Linked DNA regions of Cricetulus griseus. The protein of the gene in region 5 interacts with the protein of the main gene of each other region in a pairwise test. Links are inferred from orthologs where the notes say so. Each region holds a gene or a part of one and is shown on either strand. Other genes may lie near its edges. The genes, in order: Mettl17, Snrpb2, Suv39h2, Mcm7, Pnma1, Lnx1 and Ubqln1.

What was found.
Region 1: the proteins of Pnma1 (region 5) and Mettl17 interact in binary tests that used the Homo sapiens proteins (3 or more experiments, as listed by UniProt). The link is inferred for Cricetulus griseus from reciprocal best matches to the Homo sapiens genes PNMA1 and METTL17.
Region 2: the proteins of Pnma1 (region 5) and Snrpb2 interact in binary tests that used the Homo sapiens proteins (3 or more experiments, as listed by UniProt). The two-hybrid records come from large-scale screens. The link is inferred for Cricetulus griseus from reciprocal best matches to the Homo sapiens genes PNMA1 and SNRPB2.
Region 3: the proteins of Pnma1 (region 5) and Suv39h2 interact in binary tests that used the Homo sapiens proteins (3 or more experiments, as listed by UniProt). The two-hybrid records come from large-scale screens. The link is inferred for Cricetulus griseus from reciprocal best matches to the Homo sapiens genes PNMA1 and SUV39H2.
Region 4: the proteins of Pnma1 (region 5) and Mcm7 interact in binary tests that used the Homo sapiens proteins (3 or more experiments, as listed by UniProt). The two-hybrid records come from large-scale screens. The link is inferred for Cricetulus griseus from reciprocal best matches to the Homo sapiens genes PNMA1 and MCM7.
Region 6: the proteins of Pnma1 (region 5) and Lnx1 interact in binary tests that used the Homo sapiens proteins (3 or more experiments, as listed by UniProt). The two-hybrid records come from large-scale screens. The link is inferred for Cricetulus griseus from reciprocal best matches to the Homo sapiens genes PNMA1 and LNX1.
Region 7: the proteins of Pnma1 (region 5) and Ubqln1 interact in binary tests that used the Homo sapiens proteins (3 or more experiments, as listed by UniProt). The two-hybrid records come from large-scale screens. The link is inferred for Cricetulus griseus from reciprocal best matches to the Homo sapiens genes PNMA1 and UBQLN1.

What each region holds. Positions count from the first base shown.
Region 1 is NW_023276807.1:206,958,790-206,960,999, forward strand, and holds part of Mettl17 (methyltransferase-like protein 17, mitochondrial), read left to right. Parts: intron 1-605; coding exon 606-700; intron 701-1,181; coding exon 1,182-1,252; intron 1,253-1,543; coding exon 1,544-1,651; intron 1,652-1,874; coding exon 1,875-1,943; intron 1,944-2,210. UniProt on the Homo sapiens protein: Mitochondrial ribosome (mitoribosome) assembly factor. Binds at the interface of the head and body domains of the mitochondrial small ribosomal subunit (mt-SSU), occluding the mRNA channel and preventing compaction of the head domain towards the body.
Region 2 is NC_048599.1:35,869,397-35,872,896, reverse strand, and holds part of Snrpb2 (U2 small nuclear ribonucleoprotein B''), read left to right. Parts: intron 1-1,509; coding exon 1,510-1,560; intron 1,561-2,911; coding exon 2,912-3,000; intron 3,001-3,419; coding exon 3,420-3,500. UniProt on the Homo sapiens protein: Involved in pre-mRNA splicing as component of the spliceosome. Associated with sn-RNP U2, where it contributes to the binding of stem loop IV of U2 snRNA.
Region 3 is NC_048596.1:220,775,487-220,779,701, reverse strand, and holds the start of Suv39h2 (histone-lysine N-methyltransferase SUV39H2), read left to right. Parts: upstream 1-1,415; 5' UTR 1,416-1,541; coding exon 1,542-1,572; intron 1,573-3,851; coding exon 3,852-3,997; intron 3,998-4,215. UniProt on the Homo sapiens protein: Histone methyltransferase that specifically trimethylates 'Lys-9' of histone H3 using monomethylated H3 'Lys-9' as substrate.
Region 4 is NC_048597.1:116,883,176-116,885,694, reverse strand, and holds part of Mcm7 (DNA replication licensing factor MCM7), read right to left. Parts: intron 2,446-2,519; coding exon 2,308-2,445; intron 1,797-2,307; coding exon 1,647-1,796; intron 1,477-1,646; coding exon 1,362-1,476; intron 1,278-1,361; coding exon 1,146-1,277; intron 985-1,145; coding exon 901-984; intron 793-900; coding exon 399-792; intron 165-398; coding exon 81-164; intron 1-80. UniProt on the Homo sapiens protein: Acts as a component of the MCM2-7 complex (MCM complex) which is the replicative helicase essential for 'once per cell cycle' DNA replication initiation and elongation in eukaryotic cells.
Region 5 is NC_048598.1:119,613,430-119,617,687, reverse strand, and holds Pnma1 (paraneoplastic antigen Ma1), read right to left. Parts: upstream 2,801-4,258; 5' UTR 2,135-2,800; coding exon 1,073-2,134; 3' UTR 346-1,072; downstream 1-345.
Region 6 is NW_023276807.1:141,124,660-141,128,159, forward strand, and holds part of Lnx1 (E3 ubiquitin-protein ligase LNX), read right to left. Parts: intron 436-3,500; coding exon 301-435; intron 1-300.
Region 7 is NC_048596.1:277,235,694-277,239,862, reverse strand, and holds the start of Ubqln1 (ubiquilin-1), read left to right. Parts: upstream 1-1,369; coding exon 1,370-1,525; intron 1,526-4,169. Other genes in the region: translation initiation factor IF-2-like, read right to left, coding at 342-1,079, 1,123-1,371. UniProt on the Homo sapiens protein: Plays an important role in the regulation of different protein degradation mechanisms and pathways including ubiquitin-proteasome system (UPS), autophagy and endoplasmic reticulum-associated protein degradation (ERAD) pathway.

The DNA.
Region 1 (2,210 bases), on a different chromosome or scaffold from region 5:
TTAGTGTAGGGAATAGATTTTACATGCCAATCAAAAATTTTTTGTCGACGGGCATTGGTGGCACACTCCTTTAATGCCAGCACTCAGGAGGCAGAGGCAGGTGATCTCTATGAGTTCGAGGCCAGCCTGGTCTCCAGAGCGAGTACCAGGATAGGCTCCAAAGCTACACAGAGAAACCCTGTCTTGAAGAAAGAAAAAAAAAAATTGTCTACAAGTCAGTTTTGTTTTTTTTTAATCATCTGCCTTTTATTTCAGAAGTTGTAAATGTACCAAGAACATAAAATAACACTGTTAGCTTATCTGTTTTAATGTAATGCCCTGATTCCCCAGGGGCGGGATTGAGAGCAGGTGGGTTTCTTAGAGGAATGACCGTGTCGGGACTGGAGAGATGACTGACTCAGAGGTTAAGAGCACTGGCTGCTCTTCCACTGGTCCTGAGTTCAATTCTCAGCAACCACATGGTGGCTCACAACCATCTATAGTAAGATTTGGTACCCTCTTCTAGCATGCCAAAACTGTATACATAATAAATAAATAAATCATTAAAAAAAAAAAGGAATGACTGTGTGTCATAAAAATTGGTGGTTTTCATCTTGCCATCTCAGGGCTGCTCACAGTACTTGGGGCCAGAGCCTCCGTGAATATGTGTGTGTGGACAGTTCAGCAGCCATGTTGGGTTTGGCTGAAAAGCTACTAAAAGGTGAGACCAAGCTCTAATCCAGGGATTTCCAAAAGTTGAGGGAGTTAGGAAAGAATTTTATTGGGATGTAGAGGAGAGAGTTATAAATTAAGATAATCGGCCAGGCGTTGGTGGCTCATGCCTTTAATCTCAGCACTCGGGAGGCAGAGGCAGGCAGATCTCTGTGAGTTCGAGGCCAGCCTGGTCTCCAGATCGAGTGCCAGGATAGGCTCCAAAGCTACACAGAGAAACCCTGTCTCAAAAAGCCAAAATTAATTAATTAATTAATTGAGATAATCTGGGCTCCTTCCAGTATTACAGTGAGACAATATTAGAGGCCTTTATGGGACTCTGGTTGGTTGGATGGGATTAGTAGGCCACGTTTTTAATTACAGTCCTGCACCTCTCAGCTGGGGTTATCTGAGGAATGTCTCTTCACTGAGTGTAAACTTTGGCTATAAAGTTTATGTTCTGTCTTTGCTGCCACATCTTTCTTCCGTAGGTGGTTCAGAATCAGGGAAGCCCTGTATCCCAGGTGTCTTTTTCAGACAGTTTCTACCTGTGTCACCCAAGGCAAGTAGCAAGTAAGTTATTCTCAGATCTAGTGTGGCAGGTGGACAGCTGTGGTTTCAGCCTTGAAACCCACCATTGTGTGTTAGAAGACAAAAGAAGCAATAGAAGACATTTAAGACACCCATAATCTCAGGACTCAGGAGCTGAGGCAGGAGGATTACCATTGGTTCAGGTTCAACCTGGAATACATAATGAGATATCTTGGGGTCAGGAGGATTTAGAGGCTAGGAATTTGTTGTGCTTTTGGATAGGGCGATGTCAGATCTGTTTGTCCCTTATCTTGGTCCTCAGGTCCAGTTTGATGTGGTCGTGTCAGCCTTCGCCCTCAGTGAACTACCCAGCAAGGCTGACCGAGTTGAGGTAGTTCGGAACTTGTGGCGTAAGACAAGCCATTTTCTGGTGAGTTGAAATCCTTTCCCCCTCAAGTTTTAAAGCAGCTTTGTGGTTCTGTGCCTTGTCCTCTGGTTATCACATAGTGTTTTTTCTCTTTTATAGCTCTTTGCACTTCCTCAGGGTATCCACCTTTCACACAATGCCCACTTCCCTGCCAGTGTCCTGACAGCGCTACTGGCATTTGCTTTGGGATTCAGAGCGCCTGCTTATTTCCTCTGTTTGTAAACAGGTGTTGGTGGAGAACGGAACAAAAGCTGGGCACCATCTTCTCATGGATGCCAGGAACCTGGTCCTTCAGGTGAGGTTCCTTGTCCTCAGTCCTTCCCCTTTCTGTCGTAAGGTTACTGTTACTGCCTTGGAGCTGGTGGCTGTCCCACATCTGTAATGGTGACTCATGATACAGCAAAGTGGTTGGCAAATGAGAGTTTCTAGGTCAAACCCCCAGCACAGTACCTGTTGCCCTGGGAGCTATGCATATTCATGTCTTGACAGAGCTCACCCTGCAGACTGCAGTTAAGCACCTCAGAGATGGGTGCTGCTCACTCCTTTCAAAAACTTACTTTGC
Region 2 (3,500 bases), on a different chromosome or scaffold from region 5:
AACTGGCTCTGTAGCCCAGACTGACCTCAAACTCACAGAGATTTCTGCCTCTCCAGTGCTGGGATTAAATGCTTTCACCACCACCACCACCCTGCTAAAGGTGAAGTTTTATATATGTGTATATATACATACATACATAAATACATACATACATATGCATATATGTATAAATTTTATTTAAATTAGAACAATCTTATTTTACATATCAGTCCAAGTTTGCTCTGCCTCCCATCTTCCCATTCCCCCCATTGACCCCCCCATCCCATCCCCCATCCACTCCTCAGGGAGGGTGAAGCCTTTCATGAGGGACCATCAAAAATCTGTCAAGTCATTTGGGGTAGGGCCTAGGCCCTCCCCTGTGCGTCTAGGCTAAGAGACTTTCCCCCCATGGAGAATGGGCTCCCAAAGTCCATTTGTGCACTAGGGATACATCCTGGTTCCACTGTCAGGGGCCCCATAGACTGCCTAGTCCTCCTACCTGACACCCACATTCAGGGGGCCTGGTTTGGTCCTATATTGGTTCCCTAGCTGTCAAACTGAGGTTCATGAATTCCCACTAGCTAAGGTCAACTGTTCCTGTGGGTTTTCCCAGCATGGTCTTGACTGAGCCGAACTCCTGGAATCCAGTTGTAGAGATGGAGGAGTGATGAATGAAGTTTTAAGAAGCTGGGATAACAAAATTCTAAAATTCTAGGTTTATATTTAAGGAACAATTTATAATACCAGCCTTTACACTTAGAGATTTGCAATAAACAGTACTAATCTGATTTACATATTGTTTTTGACATCTTTATCTAAAACCCTACTTATTGGTATTTTTCTTAAATTCTTCCTATAAATCATATGCAGTCTCTTCATCATGAGTATCTTACTCAGAGCCTCTGAACAATTCAAGAGGCAAAAATTGAAATCCAGTAGAAGTGAAATTATTCAAAAAAGTAGTTACCTCTGAGTTAATTATTTAAATCATTTTGATTCTGTGATTTTGATTGTATAATGCTTATGGTTTTTTTTTTTTTTTTTTTTTAAGTAAGACTCTCTCTGTCTTTATCTCTATTTCTCTATCTCAGCTCTTGTAACCTAGAGGAGTCTGTTCACCCTTGTGACCCTCCTGCCTCAGCCACACAGCACACTTGGTCTCTCCATCATTTAAAGTTTAATGTTAAAGCCAGGTGTGGTGGTACACACCTTTAGTCCCAGCACTGGGGAGGCAGAGGCAGGTAGCCTGGTCTAAATAGTGAATTCCAGGATACCTGAACTACATAGTAAAATCCTGTCTCAAAATAAATAAATAAAAATTCAAATGTTAAGGTTTATGATGTGGTCTATAGAGTTGAGAGACATACATTTCAATTTACAAGCTAAGTAAATAATTTAAGACATCTTAAGGTAAAATGGAATAAGGTATCTTTTACAGTGAATTTAATGTTGATTTATGTTATAAATTGCAGTTGCTTTTTACCATGACTGAAATTCAGTCATTTCTTAATGCCAATTTCTTTTTTGTAGGGAACACCAAATTCGGCTAATACTCAAGGAAACGCAGCACCAAATCCTCAGGTAATGTTTTTCTTCATGGGGTGCTTACCTTAAGATCATAAAAATTATGGCAGTATTAGTGTTCATGTCTGCAAAAGCAAGTAAATCCATTCACAAGACATAATTGCCTGTCACTTTAAGAAACTTACTCTAAGATGAAGAAAACAAAACCAGGCCTGATTTCTGTTTTCCATGAATTGGGGACAAGATCAAAAAGGCAGGGGGTGTAAGGCCTGAGAAAGGGCTTTTGGTTTGGGTCGGGCACTTGTCAGCACTTCACAGACATGTGGTCAGAGGACCTTGGGAGGGGCTGTTTCCACCCCAGGTGTCTGACACTGCCCTGTCTTTCTCAGATTCATAGTGGGCAATGGTGTTTAAGTTTTCTGCTTTCAGTAGAGTCTAAATTATACAGTCTGACGTGTCCACAACTTCTCAGTATTACAGTTGTGTGCGTTTGATTTTTTCCTCTCCTTTGGTGTTGGTGACTGACTCCTGGGCCTAGCCTATGCTAGGCAAATGCTATACCACTGAGCTGTCCAATACCCCTTAGCCCCTCTGAGACAGTCTTGATTCTGCTCTCAAACCTCTCAATCCTCTTGTCTCAGCCTCCTGAGTGCTGGGATTACAGATAGTTGTCACCATACTTGATCTTTTATGATCTTTCTTTCTATTCCTTGAACTCTTTCAGAACTTGTAGTCAATTTACAAATACCAGCACTTAATTCTCTATCTTGAGCTGTTCAATAATTATTTTTTACACTTGATCTTTTCTGTCCATGTAATTAGCAAGTAGACAGAGTTTCTTCTTATATGTAAGTCTTTTATACACTCCCTGTAGACTCAGGATGGGGTGCCAAGCATGTGACTTAATGTCTAATATTCTGCTCAGTTATGTTTGTTTTATATTAGTAGACAAAGTACATGCCATTTACTGTGTACATGCATGCACAGGAACACACAGAGTAGATGCCAGCAGGGTGTGATTGTCAATAGTAATGTTTCAGTTTAGAATGATGAGCTGAGGAGGTCTATGTTGCTGCCTTTTCCAGTTTTTAGACTTTGAATTCTGTATTCCAGGTCACAGAATTCCCCAGTTAGCACTGGTGCTTCACCTATAAATACTGTTTTCACAGAATCATAACCTTCCATACTTGGGGTATCCTAACTTGAATGTTGGCTTCCCTATTGTTAGGTTTTTAATCTGTATCTCTGGCGTCATTGTTTTTAGCTTTTGTTTTAGTGTGTTAAGATTTCACAGGCGCATATAGGCTGCAATGTAGTTCTCTGAAGAAGTTTTCATTTTTTCTCACAGCTAAATACTTCACAGCACAGTTTATATTCACAAGCTAATTTTGCCTTTTGTTTCTAATAGGTCCCTGATTATCCTCCAAACTACATCCTATTCCTTAATAATTTACCAGAAGAGACGAATGAGATGATGTTATCCATGCTGTTCAATCAGTAAGTTCTTTACTAAACAGATCTGTTTGTAGTAGCCTTCTAACAGGACAAATAGTGCTTCTATGGACTGAGTTCATTTGTCACCCCACAGCAGTAGTTCTCTGTAGGGTCATTGATTTAGTCTGGTACTAATCATGGATTGGAGCCTAAGTTAAGCTCTAAGCTTAACGAATAAAAGGATAGATTTTCTCTGTTGGAGTTATTCTAATAAATGGGTAAAACAGGAAACCTTTGACATACTGACAGTTGTGGAATTAGTGTGGACTCTTGCATTTCCTTGATGGTACAATTTTATGTCAGGTGCCTCCATCCTACTTGGGATTCTTGATTGAATGTAATTAGTTTTCCTAGACCAATAGCAAGTTGTTCAACAAATTTATTCTACATTTGCCTGTGTTTATTGCTTTTGTTTTTTCTAGGTTCCCTGGTTTCAAGGAAGTTCGCTTGGTACCTGGGAGGCATGACATTGCATTTGTAGAATTTGAAAATGATGGGCAGGC
Region 3 (4,215 bases), on a different chromosome or scaffold from region 5:
AAGCAGGGATAGAGACAGAGTGCCTTTAGAGGCCTCTCAGAAGAAGTAACATTTGAGTTAAAACCTAGCTAATAAGAAGATAGCCACATGAAACGGAGGAGAGTTTGCCCTTTGGGCTAGACAGCGATTTCCAGGTTAAAGTGTTTATTTAGAGCAGGGAGTGTCGGCTCACACCTGTGGCCCCAGCACACCAAGGTGGAAGCAAGACCAGGAAGTCAAGGTGATTCCCACATACAAAGCAAGTTTGAGCCCTGTCCCCAAAAAGACTCCAAGAGGACACTGTTTCCTTTCTTGTTTAGCAGGTGCCTGGCACATAGGAGATACACATGAAAATATTTTTGAATATGCCTATTATATTTGAATTGTGTGTGTTGTATTTGAATTGTGTAAGTATAATAGTTGAGTATATGAAAATTTGAAAAGCCATAGAACATAGTGGGCAAAAGGGAGAATGGTTCAAAGCAAGTGAGAAAAACAGACTTCTAATCACTGGTGGTCTCATAGGCACCGGAAGATGTGCTATGCGGTGAAGTACTTAAAGTTGGAGAAGGGTTATGTTTCACTTTATGTTTTAAAGCTACTTTAGCTCCATGGGAAGTGGCTACAAGGGGAGCAATAGCAGAGGTCAAAGCAGTTAGACTTCTTTGACTGAGAAATGATGGTGTGGATAACAGTAATAGCAATGAAAATAGAGAGGAGACAGGCAGTGTGCGTTTGCTATTAGCACTGACGTGACTTACCAATGGAATTACAGAAGGCTTTTGTGTATAATGGTTCCCTTACAACTTTCAAGATTCACAATGGTGTGAAAATGATAAGTGGCCCAATTCTCCCTGAGTGTAAATGGCTAAAAACTGAGCAAAGCTTAAAGCTGTTAAGGAGGATAAAGTAAGTCCTAGTTGTAAATGTACCTTGTAAGTTTGCTTTAATTAAGCTCAGCTGTTGGCTGGGTTGGTTTTATTTTGACAACTCTCAGCGCCTTCCTTTGGATCCAGCTGCTGCACGGCCATATCAACTCAGCAGACTCTCCTTGTGTGATCCAAACAGACCACTTAGATCCAAAGTGAGGCCACCTGCATCCAATTTTGAGATCCTGCTCTGCAGAGGCGGGGAGTGAAAGGAAAAGCTTGCTTGGGTTCAAGCGCTAAGGAACAAGAGTAGGAAAGTAGCTATCTGTGCACTCTAACCCACACAGCACATTTTGCATCTTATAACGTGCGTGCCATGCCTTTGGGACGAGACTCAGAGCACCGAACAGGGAGGGAATCCTGGCATGCAGCCTTTAGAGTCAAAGCGAGGACCATACCAGGAGGGGCGGGGCCTGTCGGCAGGAGCTAGTTGTGACCCCGCCCCTTTGTGCCCCCCCCAACGTGCCGCGCATGCGCAGTGGCTACTACGGCTGGGGTCAACCTCCACTGACGTCAGGACGCCACACTGCTTCCAGCCTCCCATCTCTGGAGTCCCTCGCGGGCCGGGGCGGGGCGTCTGGCCAGCTGAGCTCTTCGGGCTGACCGCGCCAGTTTGAATGAAAGCTCCGCAAGATGGCGGCGGCCGGAGCCGAGGCACCGAGAGGTGAGACTGGAGAGCGGTGTCACCGGCCGCCAGGGCCGTTCCCGAGGCCCGAGCCCAGCCGGACGGCGGCGATGTGGGCGGGACGCCGCCGAGCGGACACCCCGAGCGCCGTACGCTGGCGGCGGGCTACGGGCCCGGGACGCGCCGGCTCCGTGCGAGCGTGGTTCCGAAAGTCCCGCGGGCCCGGGTCCTCGGTGGCGAGTGTGCGCGCCCCGCCTCTCTGAAGGGTGAGCCGGGAAGCACGCGCGCCGCTGCCCTAGCGGTCGCCACCTTCGCGCGGTGGGAGCCGGGCTGAGGTGCGCTGCCCGCGTACGAGCCGGCCTGGCACCGCTGCGAAGTGTCTCCCCTCGAAAGTAGATGTCTGCACACACAGCCCTGAGCTCCTGGAAACTTTGGGGGGGCCCGGCTGGAACTTGTGGGTTATTTATGTGGGTGTGCGGGGGGGCGGCGTGTGTGTTGAAAGTAAAGCATTCTGGAGTGAAAAAAAAAAAAAAAGGTTGTTCTCCAGCTAGCTTTTTCCTCTGCTCCACTCAGATGGTGACACTTTATTATCCCCGTCACTCGACTTCCTTGAGGTGTTGCGGGGGTGGGGTGTGGTGGAAGGATTTTATAAGCGGGATGTCATAAACTAATCCGGACAATGAAACTTTTTTTTCTCCATCATTATAGGCTGTGGAATTTTGTAAACCAAGGGTTTGCAGATTAAAAAAGAAAAAAAAAATCCCGAAATGCTCAAAATGTAGCATTTCTGTTGAGAGATGCGTCGTACTTACACATAATGGTCGTCATTATGACATTTTCATTCGAATACGTGTGTTACCGAATTCAACACCACTCTCCGCTATAGGGTTGTGTTTTTGGATTCTCAACTAGGAGTAAAAAATTTAAAACAAACACCTTGGGTACATAATAACCAACAGGTCTCTCCTTTACAGATGATTAACATAAGGAGATTAGCCTTACACAAAACAGCCTTAAGATTTTTGGATGGAAGCGATTAAGAAGACGGTTTTTATACCTGTCCTACCCCCAAACCACCACACCTAAACAATGTATTTTGGCAAATTTGAGGAAAAGACTTTGCCTTTTACGAGTGCCAGAAATACGAGTCTTTTCCATTGATTGGAGTGGGGAAATGATGCTTAACAATTTCCTTTAATGAAGTCCTAACGGGGGAGGATGATGAAGGGATGTGGGGAAGTTAAAACAGTCAGGTTCTCCTGTCCCTGAAATCTACCTCAAAACGTTTGCCTACTACCTTGAAGAACTATTAAATACAGCATGATGAACTAATGATACATTTTGTTTGGTCACTTCTTTTCACCACTCTCACTTTTTCTTTTCTTTTCTTTTCTTTTCTTTTTTTTTTTTTCAGTGAATGTGATACCCAGAAAGCTTGAGCCCTTCCTAAAGTTGTGTAGCTAGGTGGCCCACCAACAAGTAGGGTGGAGGGCTTTTGATCATCTAGTATTAGATTCCCCTATTAGACGTACAGTGAAGTTTTACATTTTCTAGACATCATTTGTGCAGTTATATTTTAAATTTGGGATGGAACACAGTTCATTTCTGGCCTGTGTAAGGTTATTGTTAGTATGTCTGACTTTCTTGTTTATGGATAATTTACTTTGAGTTTTCTGTTTTGTAACTGCTTGCTGGCTTTAAACAGTCCAGGAAATGGCATTATAAAGCCCAATATACAATATAAAATAGAAAAGTAGATGTTTCTATTTTATGCATGTTGATAATACATTTCACCATGGGCAAAATAAATGAGACTTGTGGTATTCCTGAAATGGGCAAAGTAGGATATGGATTTAACTACAGAACTATATTTCAGATTTAAAATCTTACTGTGTGATTAAAAGAAGCAAAGGTTACTTTTAAATTGTGATTGTTTTAGAATATATTTTAGATACATTTCTAATAATATGTCTTAGCTGTTTATTAAGAGAACAGTTACATTCTGTGTAGAATATAATGGAACAGTAAAAAAAATTTAGCTCTTTTCATTTTTGCATTTATAGTAATCTTAAGTAAACTTAGACATGAAATATTTTAAGTGGCCAAGCAAGAATTAGCCTTTGCCAATAGAACAATAGGATAGAAGTTCAATTCATCAAAAGTAGATCTTTATCACGTAACTTTTTTCTCAAACACACATAATTGGCTTCTTGTCATGTTCGTTTCTTACTATAAAATTGTCAGTTGGGAAGTTTTTAAGTTTTTGTTTCATCCTAGTAGCTATTTTATTAGTAAAGAATTCTATTTTCTTATTGTAGCCTGGTGTGTGCCTTGCCTAGTTTCACTTGATACTCTTCAGGAATTATGTAGAAAAGAAAAGCTCACATGTAAATCGATTGGAATCACCAAAAGGAATCTAAACAATTATGAGGTGGAGTACTTGTGTGACTACAAGGTAGTAAAGGTAAGGCAATATCTAGCCCCTTGAAAGAGACCTATTCACACTGCAGTATTTCATGTTTCTCTAGCATAAAAATAGACTTAAGAATAAACAAAGCTCTTCTTTCTGTTTAAGGTTGTAAGTCATAGACTTTTGTGCATTGTCATCATTTTTGTTGAATAACACTGAGGGATTATGAAGTATAAAGTGCTCTTGCATTAGAATATTTAGGGTATTTATAT
Region 4 (2,519 bases), on a different chromosome or scaffold from region 5:
AAAAAAAACTTCTGATGATGCCCTCTGCCTTGTATGGCTAGGCTACAAAGTTGAGACCTGGGTTCACTCCCTACCCCTACCTCATAAGCTTCATGTCCAAAGGTTCAAACTGGGCAGGGGGCTGCCGGCTGTGCTGGTGGACATAGGTGATGTGCTGGGCCAACCTAGAGAGAACACAGGCGAAACTAAGAGCTATATACCTTGAGGACCCCCCATCTTAGCCCTACCTCTTTGCCATAGCACAGCAGAGACAGGCCTCCCAGGAAAACCTTAGCATCTCAGCCCCAACCTTCCATCTCCCTAGGAACTGTGGAAAAATTGAGTGGCTTTCTGATTTTACCTTCCTCCCCCCAAAGCACTAAAACGGGCTGTCTCTATGGGTATTGTACTTTATTCACCGGAGGTCATTATCTCGGTCAGGCCGGTCCTGAATCAGCCATAAAAGGTCGAATCGGGAAAGCAGAGCAGCAGGAAGCTGTATGTTCTGCTCCAGGCTTCGGCGGGGGTTGTATCGCCCATAGGCAGGGTTGGCAGCAGCCAGGATAGAGCACCGGGCATTGAGTGTGGTGAGAATCCCTGCTTTGGCAATGGAGATGGTCTGTTGTTCCATGACCTCATGGATGGCTGTGCGGTCAGCTTCGGCCATTTTGTCAAACTCATCGATACAGCACACACCCTGGTCAGCCAGCACCAGGGCTCCACCCTCTAAGGTCAGTTCCCCACTCACAGAGTCTCTCAGTACAGCCGCTGTGAGCCCCACTCCAGAGGAGCCCCGGCCTGTTGTATACTGACCTGCAATGAGAAACAGCAGACTGTTGAAGAAAGGAACCACTGCCTCATGCCTTCAAGAGGCTTTAGTGTTTCAAACAAACACTAAGCTCTGTCCCTGCCCATACTCACTTCGGGGGGCCAGACGATCGATGTAAGATAGGAGCTGAGATTTGGCCACACCAGGGTCTCCCATAAGGCAGATGTGGATGTTTCCTGGAAAATGGGAAGAGCATTTGACATGAGACCCAGTTCCCCTCTCAAACTCCATATTATTCCTCTAAGACCACAGAGCCAAGTCATCAACTAGTGTTGATGTGACTGATCCCTTCTGACCCTCCTAACACTCCCCATCCCATCTCTGCTGCCCTTCTTACCCCTGATCTTCATGCCTTGAGGAGACTGGTCCACACCACCCACCAGGAGCAGCAACAGTGCTTTCTTCACATCCTCGTGCCCATAGATCTCTGGAGCAATAGAAGCTGCCAGCTTTTCATAGAAGTCCTCTTCTGCAAAAGTCAAGCCATAGCATTTTCTTCAGGACAAAAGCTAGGGTTACACTCAGCTATCAACCTGACTTTGTAGCCCCTCACCTGCAATCTGTTTTAGTTCCTCCCCGCTCAGCTCTCCAGCCTCAGCTGCATCATCCTCACTCTTAGTCATCTTCACAATCCGGTGGGCTTCCAGGAATGTTTCTGAGAGTAAACCCTGGGCAGAAGAATGGCTTCCCTTTAAACTGTCCATAACCAGAACGTCTAAGAACTTTTTCACAACCACAAGTTGCACGTCATTGGTTTTACTTTTCTAAAGGTGTGAAGAGAGTAAGCAGGTGGGCAAGGTGGAAAGGGAACTATTTCCTCATTTGAAAAAGCCCTCACCTGTGCCATCTGTTGGAACCCTGTACGCAGGACTGGCAAGAAGATACCAGTGACACTGACATGGTCACCAGGCAGGGCAGTCCTTGTATTCTCTCCTTGTAAAACCACTGTGATGCTACGAGGGATGTTTCCCACAGGAACTTGATCACTCTAGGCATTTTGGGGGACAGAACAGGGAACAAATGAGACAAGGAGAAAAGTGAGGCAGACAGGGAGCTGACCTGAATATGCACCAGAAGCCCATTCCATGGTTAAGACTCAGCCAGCCCAACTTAGAAGACTTCAGGAAGTTGAGTGCTTACCCTCATCCCAATATAACCAGAAAATTTCAATTAAATCACATTTTGACTTCCTGTCTAAAAGCATGAAAAATTCTTTTTTTTGTTGTTGTTGTTTGTTTTTTTGAAATAGGGTTTCTCTGTGGCTTTGGAGGCTGTCCTGGAACTCACTCATGTAGACCAGGCTGGTGTCAAACTCACAGAGATCCGCCTGTCTTGCCTCCCAAGTGCTGAGATTAAAGGTGTGCGCCACCACTGCCCGGCTGAAAAATTCCAGTTTAACCTCGATCGTATTGCACTATAAATGACTTCTCTTCCCTAGCTCTTCACTCATCGTTCTGCCAATTTCTAACCCACTGCAGGGCTCACATCGCCCAACTCACATGTTCTTGAATCTTCATTTCTTGGAATTTAATAAATTTGGAACCACGAGTCTGCAGGTAAAGCCGCCCTCCTGAGCGGTTGGTTTGGCACTCCTGGCTGGGACACATTATCAAAGGCATGAAGGTGGGAGACTGGATCTAGACAAGAAACAGGAAACAGGAAAGCAAAAGCCCCTTACAATCACAAGAATCATTTCTGCTCTGCTACAGGG
Region 5 (4,258 bases):
GCCGGAGCTAGATAGTGAGACTGTATCTAAAAGAAATAGCTGGGTGAGGTGGCTCACACCTGTAACCCTAGCACTGTGGAGGCTGGAGGCAGGAGGATTGCTACAAGTTTGAGGCCAGCCTGGGCTACAGAGTGAATTCCAAGCCAGCCTCAGCTAGCTATCGAGTGGGACCGTGAAAAAGAAACAAAACAATAACCGAGGAACCGGCAACACAAGAATGTGTAGGTGATATTGCAATTTAAGCTCATAGCAAGGAGATTAAAAAATTTTTTGACATGAGCAAAAATGTGCAGAGAAAAAATGTGCAGAGCTAAGTTACACTGAAAATTTTTTATACATGTCAGGAAAAGCAAGATGAGAATTTTCACATTTTTATTTGTATACATCTATTTGATAACTTCAAATTTAGAACACTTAGCATCAACATGACCAATAATTAAATGACAAATAATTCATGTGGGGAAAATGTAGCTTGTTTATGGAAATTCCCCCTGACTTATATTTGTATCTTACACCATGAAAAGTAGGTTGTGCCTCTTCATAAAAATCACATTTTTCTAACTTGCCAATTTTAATCCTAGAGTACTTTGCTGGTAAACTGGTTCTGATGTTGAGCCGTGAGGAATGAGAAATCTGAATTTTCAAAATGAGCAGTATCATCTAACAGACTCATATTCTTCCCATGTATATAAATTAGGGACAATGTACAGTAAAACTATCCACAATATTAGTAACAAATGTCAGTCTGTACCATACAGCCTGTGAAGCAGGCTTGCACTTTCACAATCATCCTGACAGGAAGTGTCTCAGCTTCACATTTTTCACAACTGTCAAAGATGTCACTAGGAGGGCTTGCATCAAGCATTCATTTTAGGCAGTATGAACCACCTCTACTGTTGCAGCCCTGGCCAATCACGCAATTCTGTGACTGCTACACAAATACGCAGGCCTGACTCCCCTATCCCATCCCCCAGAAAACAAAACAAAAACAGGAGGCTAGGTCTTTACTATGAGAGGCAAGGCTTGTAAAACCGCACAGGGATAACAAAAGCAGCCAGACTGATCCAGGGACTCAGAAGTGCCCCTCCAGGCCTAGCTGCAAAAGGGCTGCCTCAGCTTCCTCTTCCTCCTCCTTGGCTTCCTCCTCTCGAATCTGCACCAGCAACTGGAAGAGGTTGGGTGCCGGTCGTTCCGCAGCCCCAGTCAGCCACAATTGCCTTCGGATGGCCCCACTGTGGTTGGCCCCGGCGATGACCTGCTCCAGGCGAGCCTGGTTCACGTTATCTTTATCAATGGCCCCCTTTTCCACTACCTTTTGTAGCAGAGGCTCCAGACGAATGACGTAAGATGACAACTTTTCCCCGGGGTTCTGGTAAGTGTTCAGAAATCTGACCTGTGTATCTCTAGAGCTCTCCACGCTCCCAAACACCTGCTCAAGAGCCTTCAGGCATTCCGCGGTGGTTATGGCTGGGTTGTTGGTCTTGAGGATGCGAATGACATCAGCAGCAGGGCCTCTCAAACTCTCCATCAACCGCCGTCTCTTTTCTATATCAGACACCTGCCATTCTTCTATGACCTCATTCGAGTGCTCCAGCCAGGAATCAAAGGTCTCCTCGCCAGGCCCGGGAATGTCCCTCCCAGAGAATAGCGTCAGCTTCTTATACCATATGGACTCAACAAGAGGTTGAATAACATTATCCAAAATATAATTGAGCATCTCTGCTGGCATTTCTGGGCCTGGAGCGGGAGCAGGGTTCTGAAACCCAAGCACACGAGCAACATCTTGCACAGTCCACCCTTCCCTAGCTAGAAAGAGGTGCAGCCTCTCCAGAAACTCCGCATCAGAAGTGGGGGGCTTAAAGAACACTTTCCAGAGCCCTCCTTTGCCTGGCATCTCTCTAGGGATCAGGGAGTAATCCACTTCCCCGGTGAGCTCTAACAAGGCTGCCTTCGCATTTTCTTCCCTCCAGAACATTCTCCCCAGTACTCGGTAGGGCACTTGGGGCATGGCAGCTTGGAGGGTCTCTTCGATTTCAGCCTCATCACAGTTCACAGGGATCCCCCAGACCAGCAGAGCTCTCTGAGAGTTCACATCCATTCCCCTGCACCAGTCTTCCAAGAGCGTCAAAGCCATTTCGCCCCACTATTAAGGGTGCCAGTTCTACAGACACCGACTGGACTGGCTCGCAGTGCTATAGGACCTAGGACAATACAACATGCCTCCCTCCCCCGGGTAGGCCAGGGGGCGACAAGCTTCAAGCAACCACAATTACCAGTGACACCGGAGTCCAGTCTCGTCCCTTCCGGGTCCCAAAGTCAGTAGTGTCAGGTGCCTCGGGGCACTCTGCCTATCGAATGTCGCCCTCTTTGGTCCGAGCAGGTGCGGGCTGGCCGCAGCTATTCGTGGCCTCACGGCGGGCAGGGGAGAAGCAAGGTTGGCGCAAGGCGGTGGGCTTCAGCTTCACGAGGGAGACGGCCGGGTGCGGTCGCGGGGTGTGGCAGCTCCCCCCCGCCGCTCTCGGGCCGGCCGGCCGGCGGTAGGCGCGGGCGTAGGGTCACGCGAGGCAGTGGCTGGGAAGACGCCGGGAGAGGCGGTACTCGGGTCCGGCGGCTGCGGCAGCAGGCGAGCACCGGGGACGGAGGCCTCAGGGAGGCGCGGAAGGCGGGAGGCCGGATGGAGGCAGCTCCGCTCAGCGTCTAGAGCAGCGCGCTCCCGCAACGGCCGCCGCCGTGCAGCTGCAGTGCAGGGCGGGGCCGGTCCGCTCGTCAGTGTCGCCGTGGCAACCGTATCCATGACGACGGGAGATGCGCGAGCTCCAGAGGATCTGGCGGTTGCTATGGTACCGAGGGGTTGAGGAGTCTATTTTGTGATGGCGCGCGCGCGCGCGCACACACACACACACGTATTTCCCAGCTTCTTTCTTAACAATAAATATTGCAAAGCATCGTTTTCTTTTTTTCTTAATCTAATTTTGCTGTGAATTTAAGTTGGCCTTATTGATACGCATCCACCACGACAGACTTGTCTGTCTCATGTTGCTCATCCAGCTTATGCATTCACTATGCAGCCCATGAAAACACTCAGCACTCTGACTTCTGCGTACCTCCTGACCACACACCACAGCTGCTGCTTGCTCCTCCCCAGGAAAGCAAAAGACAGAATGCCATCTCCAGGTTCCTGTGAGACTTACTATGCTTTCTTGCCTAAATTTTGTATATATATATATAAAAAAAACCAACAAAATGCTGCTGCTGCTACTTCTTTGTAGCCAGGCAAACTGCAAACACTTTCATTTCTTGATCTTACTGAGTATACAGGATAACAAAAGAGAATGCTTAAGGCTCAGAAAGGTAGGGTAAATTCTCTTCAAGCAAGGCCTGTCAATCCCAGCTGGCAAAAACATCCCTATAAATCAGGCGGGCCTTGGTGGCCCATGCCGTTAATCCCAGCACTCGGGAGGCAGAGGCAGGAGGAGCTTTGTGAGTTCAAGGCAAACCTGATCTATAAATTGAGTTCCCGGCCAGGCTCCAAAACTACACAGAGAAACCCTGCCTCAAAAAATCAAATAAATAAATAAACACACAAACCCCACCCCTATAAAGATATGGCATTGGGGGCTGGATAGAAGGCTCACTGGTTAGGAGCATTGGCTGCTATTCCAAAGGACCTGGGTTCAATTCCCCGAACCCACATGGCAGCTCACACCTGTCGGTAACCCCAGTTCCCAAAGATCTAACAACCTCACACTGATACACATGCAGACACAGAACACAAATGCAAATAAAATAAAAATAAACAAATCGTTACAAAAAAAAGAATATGGCGCCGGGCATTGGTGGCAAACTCCTTTAATCCCAGCACTCGGGAGGCAGAGGCAGGCGGATCTCTGTGAGTTCAAGGCCAGCCTGGTCTTCAGAGCAAGTTCCAGAACAACCTCCAAAACAATACAGAGAAAACGTGTCTCAAAAAAAAAAAAAAAAAAAAAAGGAAAGAAAAGAAAAAGAAAAACCAAGAATATGGCATTCAACAGTGAATTTTTTAAAATTTTTATTTAATAAAAGGTCTTAAGATACAGAACATTCAAAAGTAAATAAGTTACATAGGTACATTACAATCACAGCAAGATTCTCTTTAGTGTATTAATTTTTTTATAAAAAGCACACAAAAAATAAAATTTTCAGTCTGGTCTATCACAACTGTACAGCAAAAGAGGTAATATTTATATATATGTACACTATTTAATATGTAACAGTCTTT
Region 6 (3,500 bases), on a different chromosome or scaffold from region 5:
ACAGAAGGAGACTTGGTTAAAATATGACATACATTTGACTTAGGCTGGAAATCTGGTCCTTTATGGACAGGTTGCAAGCTGGGATTTAAACACACCCCCGACACCTTCCCCACTCCTGCTTGGATAGGAGACACCTGTTACCTCCCAAGTATGAAAATAGGACCTTGGCCTTTTAGCTTCATGAGTAGCACTTCTTGAAATGACAAAGTCCAGAGATAGCCCTTAGAGACATTAAAGTATACAGCTTTCCTAAGAAATAGCCTTTTGCAGGAGCTGCAGACACACTTGGCTGGGCCTCACCTTAGAAGCCATGTTCCTCTCCCCTGGGCCTGGGGACCACCGGCCATTGCTGATCTGGCCAGCTTCTAGAAAGATGTCTGGGCTGGGCTGTCGAACCTGGCGGGACACGATGAGATGAACACGTCTTTCACTGGCCTGGACAAGAGGACATCAAATTAGCCACTTCACAGACCTGGCTCCAGGGCCTTACCAGAGTACCCCTTTCATTTCTACTTTTAAATTTAATGGAAGAATAAAGTGTCAAGCATTTCTTTTCTTAGGCAGTGCCAGAGACTGAGCCCAGGGTCTCTGAGCAGGCTAGATAAAGTACTTGGTCATTGAGTTCTACCCCAACCCCTATAGATTTCTTCATTTGAAAAAGTGTAGTCAAAGATGGAAGGATATATATTTGAAAACAGATTTATTTTGTTCTTAATTATGTGTAGGTGTGCATGTATGCATGTATTATGTGGGCATGTACATGTGAGTGCAGTTGTCCTCTGAGACCAGAAAAGGGTATTGGATTTCCCTGAAGCTGGTGTACAGGTGGTTATAAGTCACAGGGTGTGGTGGCTGGGAATGGAACTCAGGTCCTTGGCAAGAACAGTGTGCACACTTAATCACCCATCCATCTCTCCAGCCCCCACTCTAGATTTTCTCATGTCAGTGCCCAGCTTCTACTGTGGCAAAAGCATAAACTATTTTCTTTAACTTGAAACCAGAGGGGTAAACATCGCTTCAAGGCAAAAACCTAAGAAAGGCCTGACTCACGCAAGCTTTTGAAGAGACACCATCAGGTCTTGCTAATGTACGTTTAGTGGCAAGCTCAGCTGCAGACAATCATGGCTGGAAGTCTTGCTGAATAGAGCAAGATGCATGGTGTGAAGTACACTACATCGATTCTAGCTCAATGGTCAGCAGTAAAGAGAAGCGGTTAGAGGCAGCAACCCTGACACTATAGAAATGAAAATACTGTGTCTGCAATCTTAGAGAGTCAGGCATTGAACCTTTGGAATGCAGGGATGACATTCAGACTAAAGCCATTACCTTGACCATTTTTAGTGACTATCACTAATTCTGATCCTTATGCACACTGGTACTTAGGCAGAAGATTTGGAATAGTAAATGTATTGCTTATTGGGAAGGTTCATTCCATGCAGTAAGTTACTCACTAGCTCTCCACCACAGGTCAGTTTCTCATATCCCTGACTGTGGGTGTCAGAAGCCAGACATGCCAAACCCCAAGGTTTCAGATCTGCAGGGCATACAGACAAGACCCTAGGCCTGAGGATCTCATAGGAACAAGGCTGATTACTGAAACTGAAATGGCAAGTGGATCCTCCCATCACTTTAGTGAAAAGTGGTGATGGAAGAGTCATGGCTCAATTTGGTTAGAAAGGTACCTGGGAAAAAGGTTTGGGAACCAAGAAGATGGAAAAATGTAAGGTCTGATAGTTGGCCTCGTTATTCCAGCTCTTGACTACTGACTGCAGTGGAAACAGACACAGATGAGCCTGTCTCTCCTGCATGGGCATGGGGTCATGGAGAAGAAAGATCATAAAAGAAAGACCAGGTAGTACCTGCTTGTCTCCATTAGCTCAGACAGTGGGAATCAAGATGTTTGCTTTTCTCTGGCTATGGTTTGAGTGTATGTATTTCCCTCATGTGTGGAAATCCTAACCCATGAGTGTTGGGAATCTCTGCTCCAGTTTCATTCCTCCCATTCCAGACCCAGCCCCTCAGAAAGCCCACCAAGGGTCAGCTCCTCCCCTGGGGCTGCTCATTACCACGCCTACAGGGTATTTAAGACCTTGTCACCCTACCTGCCATGTGATTTGTCTCCTGCCTTTTTGAGAGTCACCTGGGTGTTGCTTTGCTCTGTTTATTAAAACCTGATCTTATTAATTCAGTTTGATTTGGCTTATTGCATTGGCAGAGAATACCCAATAACTGGGGATCCAATACTTATCACTAAGTCATTTGGGGATGGAGATGGTTCTGTGGATAAAGGACCTACTGAACAAGCATGAGTACCATGTAAAGATGGAAGAGGTAGAAAGGGTCTGTAATTCTGGTGTCCCTATGATGAGGTGAAAAGCAGAGACAAGAGAAGCTGGCTGGCACATCGAATAGCAAACAATAAGAAACTTTCAAACAGTGTGGAAGGTAAGGACCAATACTCTAGGTTGTTCTCTGACCTCCACATGCCTCCTGTGGCATGACCATACCCACACTCACACACATGAATGCATGCATCACACACAGAGGTTTAAATGAGAGGAGGCATTTCCAGATACTGAGCCTGCCCATATCTTGATGGTTGGGATTGTAAGAAATGCATTTCTGTTGTTCATATTAATAAGGCAATCTGTTTATGGAACTTTGTTTCCATAGCAGTCCACGGAGACTAAGAAACTACTACTCTCACCTTTGTTTCCAGAGCACATAACTCCCTCTTCCCCTCAGGAACTAGGGCCTTAAGAACCAAGAACTCCGCCAATGCAGTTGGATCCTCACATTTGTCCAGCACTGACCAGCCCAAACCTTCCTTACAATGTTATCTCTGTTCAAAGGTTCTCTTGAAACTTGGGGGTCATCAGGTGGGTGGTTATAAATTAGACTAATTTTTAATCCAATTGTTGGGTATAGTAAGAATATTATAAATATCACAATGGATGGTCAGCTAGGTGAAATGTTCATTCCGTATTCATGGCAGAAAATGCTATCAAACAGCCCCACAGAGGAAGCTTGAATTTAGCCTGTTTTCCTTTATGCATAGCCCTAACTAATCCAGTCAGTGCTTGTGTGCCTTTCCTTTGCTAGTCTATCTTGAATTCCCTGGGGTCCCTTACCACATCTGAAGCTTGCATCAGAACAGAACATACACGAGTCTCCACATGTACTTAGGCACACACACACACAGAGCTCACAGGTAACACACCATGAAGAAAAGCTAACTCTGTTCAATTCCTGGAAGAGAGTGTTGCAGTAATTGTGCCTCTTCTCTGGATTGCAAGTTTCACTAAAAGGTTATCTTCAAGAACTCGGTGAAGCAGAACTCATGGGAAGATAAGTAACAATGAACATTTAGGTCAAAACCTCAATCACAGAACCCAAATTTTCTCTCTTATCTTTGGGGAAACTCCACTGTTGAGAAGGCTGTTGGCAGAGCTTCAGCTCTGAGCTGGGATTGTGTCCTGTCCGTCTTGGACAGTGAGCAG
Region 7 (4,169 bases), on a different chromosome or scaffold from region 5:
CGTCTCGTACCTAGACATAGGCCTTGTAAACGCTTCCTGTCGCTGAACAATGCTGGCAGGCACTAAGTGATATCCACCGATACCTCGTCTTGCAATTTACACCGCCGCCGCAACTCTGACCCAGATTTCAAAGGGCTCTGCTAAGACGTGTTTATGCAACAGCAGTTAATCACGGAAAAGGGTTCGATGGCCTAAGAGCAAAAATATGGGATGTCTTTGCGTATTTGGGTCACGGTGCTCTGTCAGCGCTCACCTTGGTGCAGCACCAGCTAGTGTGCCAAGTGCCACAATGTATCGCAAGTTATGGATGGCGTGGGGGTCACGGCTGAAACGGAAATAACTTAACTGGACCTACGTTCTCCACTGGGGTTACCCCGGAGGGCACCTCGGGCCTGGGGGGGGGGGGGCGCAGTAACTTTGGACCGCGTCCTGGAGGCGCACACGAGCCCCAGGCTGCAGCCCACCCGTGGAGCGGCCCGCCCTGGGCACCCGCGTCTGCCGCGCACAGCGTGGAAGGCGGAGCAGGGCGGCCGTGTGTCCGGCCTGGCTCCGGGGACGGGGCCGCGGCCTCCCTGCACCCACGCCTGCGGGCTGTGGGCCCCGCGCTGGCGCTGGCGCTGGCGCTGCCCCGCGTCCGTTCCCGTCTCCGCGCCCGCCCGCGGTGGCGCAGCTCCAGCGGGGCCCAGAGCCGGGCGGGCGGCCCCAGCCCCTTCCGCCCGGGCACACGCTGCGCTCCTCAGAACCAAGTGCCCGCGCGGGCCGCCGGCCACCGGGGCCGGGTCGGGGGACACCGGGAGCGCAGGCCCAGCGGGCCAGGCCGCTTCCAGCAAGTTCGCCGCCGGCCGTGACGTCATTTCAGGGCGCCGCGGCGGCGCCCCGCAGAGACCCCGGGGAGCGGCTCCCGACGCAGCGGGGGCGATGAAGCGAACCGAGTTAACTCGCTGTCCCCTTCCCCCTGCCGCCGCCGCGGCTGCCTTGGAGCCGGAGGAGCCCGCGCCCCTCGTCAGCCCGGCGGCGGCGCGCGGCGGCGGCAGGCGTGAGGCGGGCGAGGACTCGGCTTCCCGGCGTGCCCCGCGCCCCTGAGTCGGCGCGGCGGCCAGCGCGTTACCCAGCGTGCCCTGCGCGGCGCCGGCGACGGACGTGGGGGAGGTGCGGGAGGAGGAAGCGGCGGCGGCGGCGGCGGCGCGGCGACGCGGAGACGGCAGCCGAGCCATCGATCGCCCGCCCGGGCCCGCACCGCACCGCACCGCACCGCAGCCCGTGCCCGCGCGCCCTCGGCGGCCCCGCCGCAGCCCGTGCCCGCTCCGCTCCGCCGCGCCGCGCCGAGCCGGCCGCAGCCCGCAGGGTCCCGGTCGCCTGAGTCACCGCCATGGCCGAGAGCGCCGAGAGCGGCGGCCCCCCGGGCGCGCAGGACGCAGCCGCGGCCGACGGCGGCCCCGCGGAGCCCAAGATCATGAAGGTCACGGTGAAGACGCCCAAGGAGAAGGAGGAGTTCGCTGTGCCCGAGGACAGCTCGGTCCAGCAGGTGAGGCCCCGGGGCGCCGGGGCGCCGGGGCGGGGAGGGCGGCCGGGCCCGGCCCTGCGGGGCTCTGCGGGGCTCTGCGGGGCCGGGGGAGGGCGAGCGGCGGCCGCCGAGCTCCGGGCCTCGGCTCCTGACAAAGGAGCGGGCGGGCAGGGCGCGGGCGGCGCTCGCTCGGCCTCTGTGGCCCGGCTGGCGGGGCGGCGGGGCGGTGAGGTGAGGCGGGCGGGGCCCGGTGGGGGTCATTGTTTCACCTGCCGGCGAATCGCAGAGATTTGGGGGTGAGGAGCACGTGCAGGCTGCGTTCTGTGTTGTGTGTCCCCCCCACACCTTTCAGCCTTTTATTATATATACGCTATTATATATATACATATATATTTAAAATTGTGACGTGGAGATCGCTTTCAGTCAGCCTGGTGATAAGCTCACGCCCGAGGGAGAAAAGTCAAAGACTTTGATTCACGGACGACTCGCTGTTTCTGTCTCAATAACCTTCGTCATCGCCCAGCCGCTCGCCCGCTCGCCGGCTCGCCCGCCCGTCACGGGGCAGGTTATTGTTCGACTCCAGGGGGACGAGAGCCATACCTACCTGCCGGGGTGTTAGGTGGTTGCCGCCGGACGCAAGAAAACAGAATTGGTGTTAACGGGGAGTCTTACTAAACAAATAATCGCTTTAAATCCCGTTCAGGGAAAGCAAATTTTGCAGCTAATTAAGAGCCCCTGGTAAAAGTTAGCAGATTTATCTGTTTAGCACGTTCTAGAGCACTCGGATTGTTGACAGTCTCAACATCGTGGACGGTTTTGTGCGAGGACGCAATTAACAGGCACTGGAATGTGCCTTTAGGTTCTCTGAACGTTTATCTAGTTCCAAAGGTGAAGTCGTTTTTTTTTTTTTTTTTTGTTTTTGTTTTTTTTTTGTGAAACAGGAGGGTGTGTGGCATCAGCTGAGGGAACTACTGTTGACTGAATCACCATTCCTTGTTAACGCTGCTGTAAAAGGTTGAACGTCTTTGTGTTTTCCAGCATGTGTGTGCCTCACCCACGATTGACATTTTCCTGCACTTGCTGTGTTATGCGTCCCTTATTTCTAAAATACATTTTTAAGGTGTAAATACCGATATCGGTATCACCTTACAAGGCACGTAAGCCGTGTGCGTGTTAGTTAACTTGAAAACCACTGTTGTGGAAATTTATTCCACATAAATTTGATGTGCACGTGGGTGCCTTAGCCAGTTTTCACAAACCCATCTACACCTGTGCCAGCCAAGCACACAACTAGGTGTGGCCTGTTAGAGCTGACTTGAAAGCTTTTGTCTCACCTTCTCTTTAAAGAAGTCACTCTTTGTCACCCCCGTGGGGATTTTTTTTTCCCCCACCAGAGATTGATTTTGCCTGTCCAGAAGTTCACATACGCAGAGTTGTATATAATGAAATCTTTTGGGAAAGACTTTTTTTCTTTCCCTCTTCAGCATATTTTTGAGATTCATCCTTGTGAATGTTTGTACCCCTCCCACCCCAGATGTTTGCATACTAGGCACAGGCTCCACTCTACCACTGACCCATGTCCCCAGCTCAGTACCTAACTGCTCTGTGGTTTTCCATAGCATGCATATGCCACAATCTACTGTCCAGGGTCTTTCTCAATTGTAGTTGCTGTGAACAGTCGCATATAAATCATTTTGACAATATATGCCTTTATCTGCATTAGAATGCTTCTGTTTACTTTTTGAGTTTTGTTGTGGTGCTGTTTTGGTTTTTCAAGACAAGAGTTTCTCTGTGAAACAGCCTTGGGTGTCCTGGAACTCTATAGTCCAGCTCAGAGATCCACTTGCCTCTGCCTCCCTAGTGCTGGGATTAAAGGCCTGTGCCAGCATGCCCTGCTATTTTGTTTGTTTTATTTTGAGACAGTGTTTCATTATGTAGCCCCAGCTGTCCTGGAACTTGCTTTGTAGACCAGGCTGACTTGGATCTCACAAGTGCTGGGATGGATTGAGGGCTTGCGCCACCTCATCTGGCCAGTTCTGTTTAGTTTTATAAGACACAACCAACAGCATATGGGTGTGTATTTCTCTTGTTCTGTATCCTTGCTAATATTTGCTATGTACAAGGTTTTTTTGTTTGTTTGTTTTTATTTTTTATTGTAGCTGTTTAATGAATGTGTAGCGATAATAAATCATGAAGCTCTTGAGTCTAAGATTCCCAGCTTAAATTTCCATCCTGACAGCTTCCCCATTTTATTTCAGGACTTTAGAAATATAATAAATGAAAAAATTATTTATGTGAAGATTTGTAAGATTTTTTTTTAAAGAGTGACACTAAAGTTTTAAATTCCGTAGAAGTTTATATTTCACTATGCTGTAACTAAAAATGATTTAATGGGTAAAAGTAAAACCTTCCTAAAGTAACTTACTCTGATATTGCTTAATGTTTAAAGCTTTCTCTGTTTTCTGTGGAAACAGAAAATGTGATGAAAGTTGAAAGCTTACCCCTGTACCACAAACGGAAAACACATCAAACTGCTGAGTGAGTCAGGGGAGCAGACTTAGAAACATGTACAAAAAAAATATAAAACTATTTGTAGCACAAGACAAGGTCTACCATTTTGTAACTTAATTTTTCTTATAGAATTTAGTAGGTTTGATATTTACTA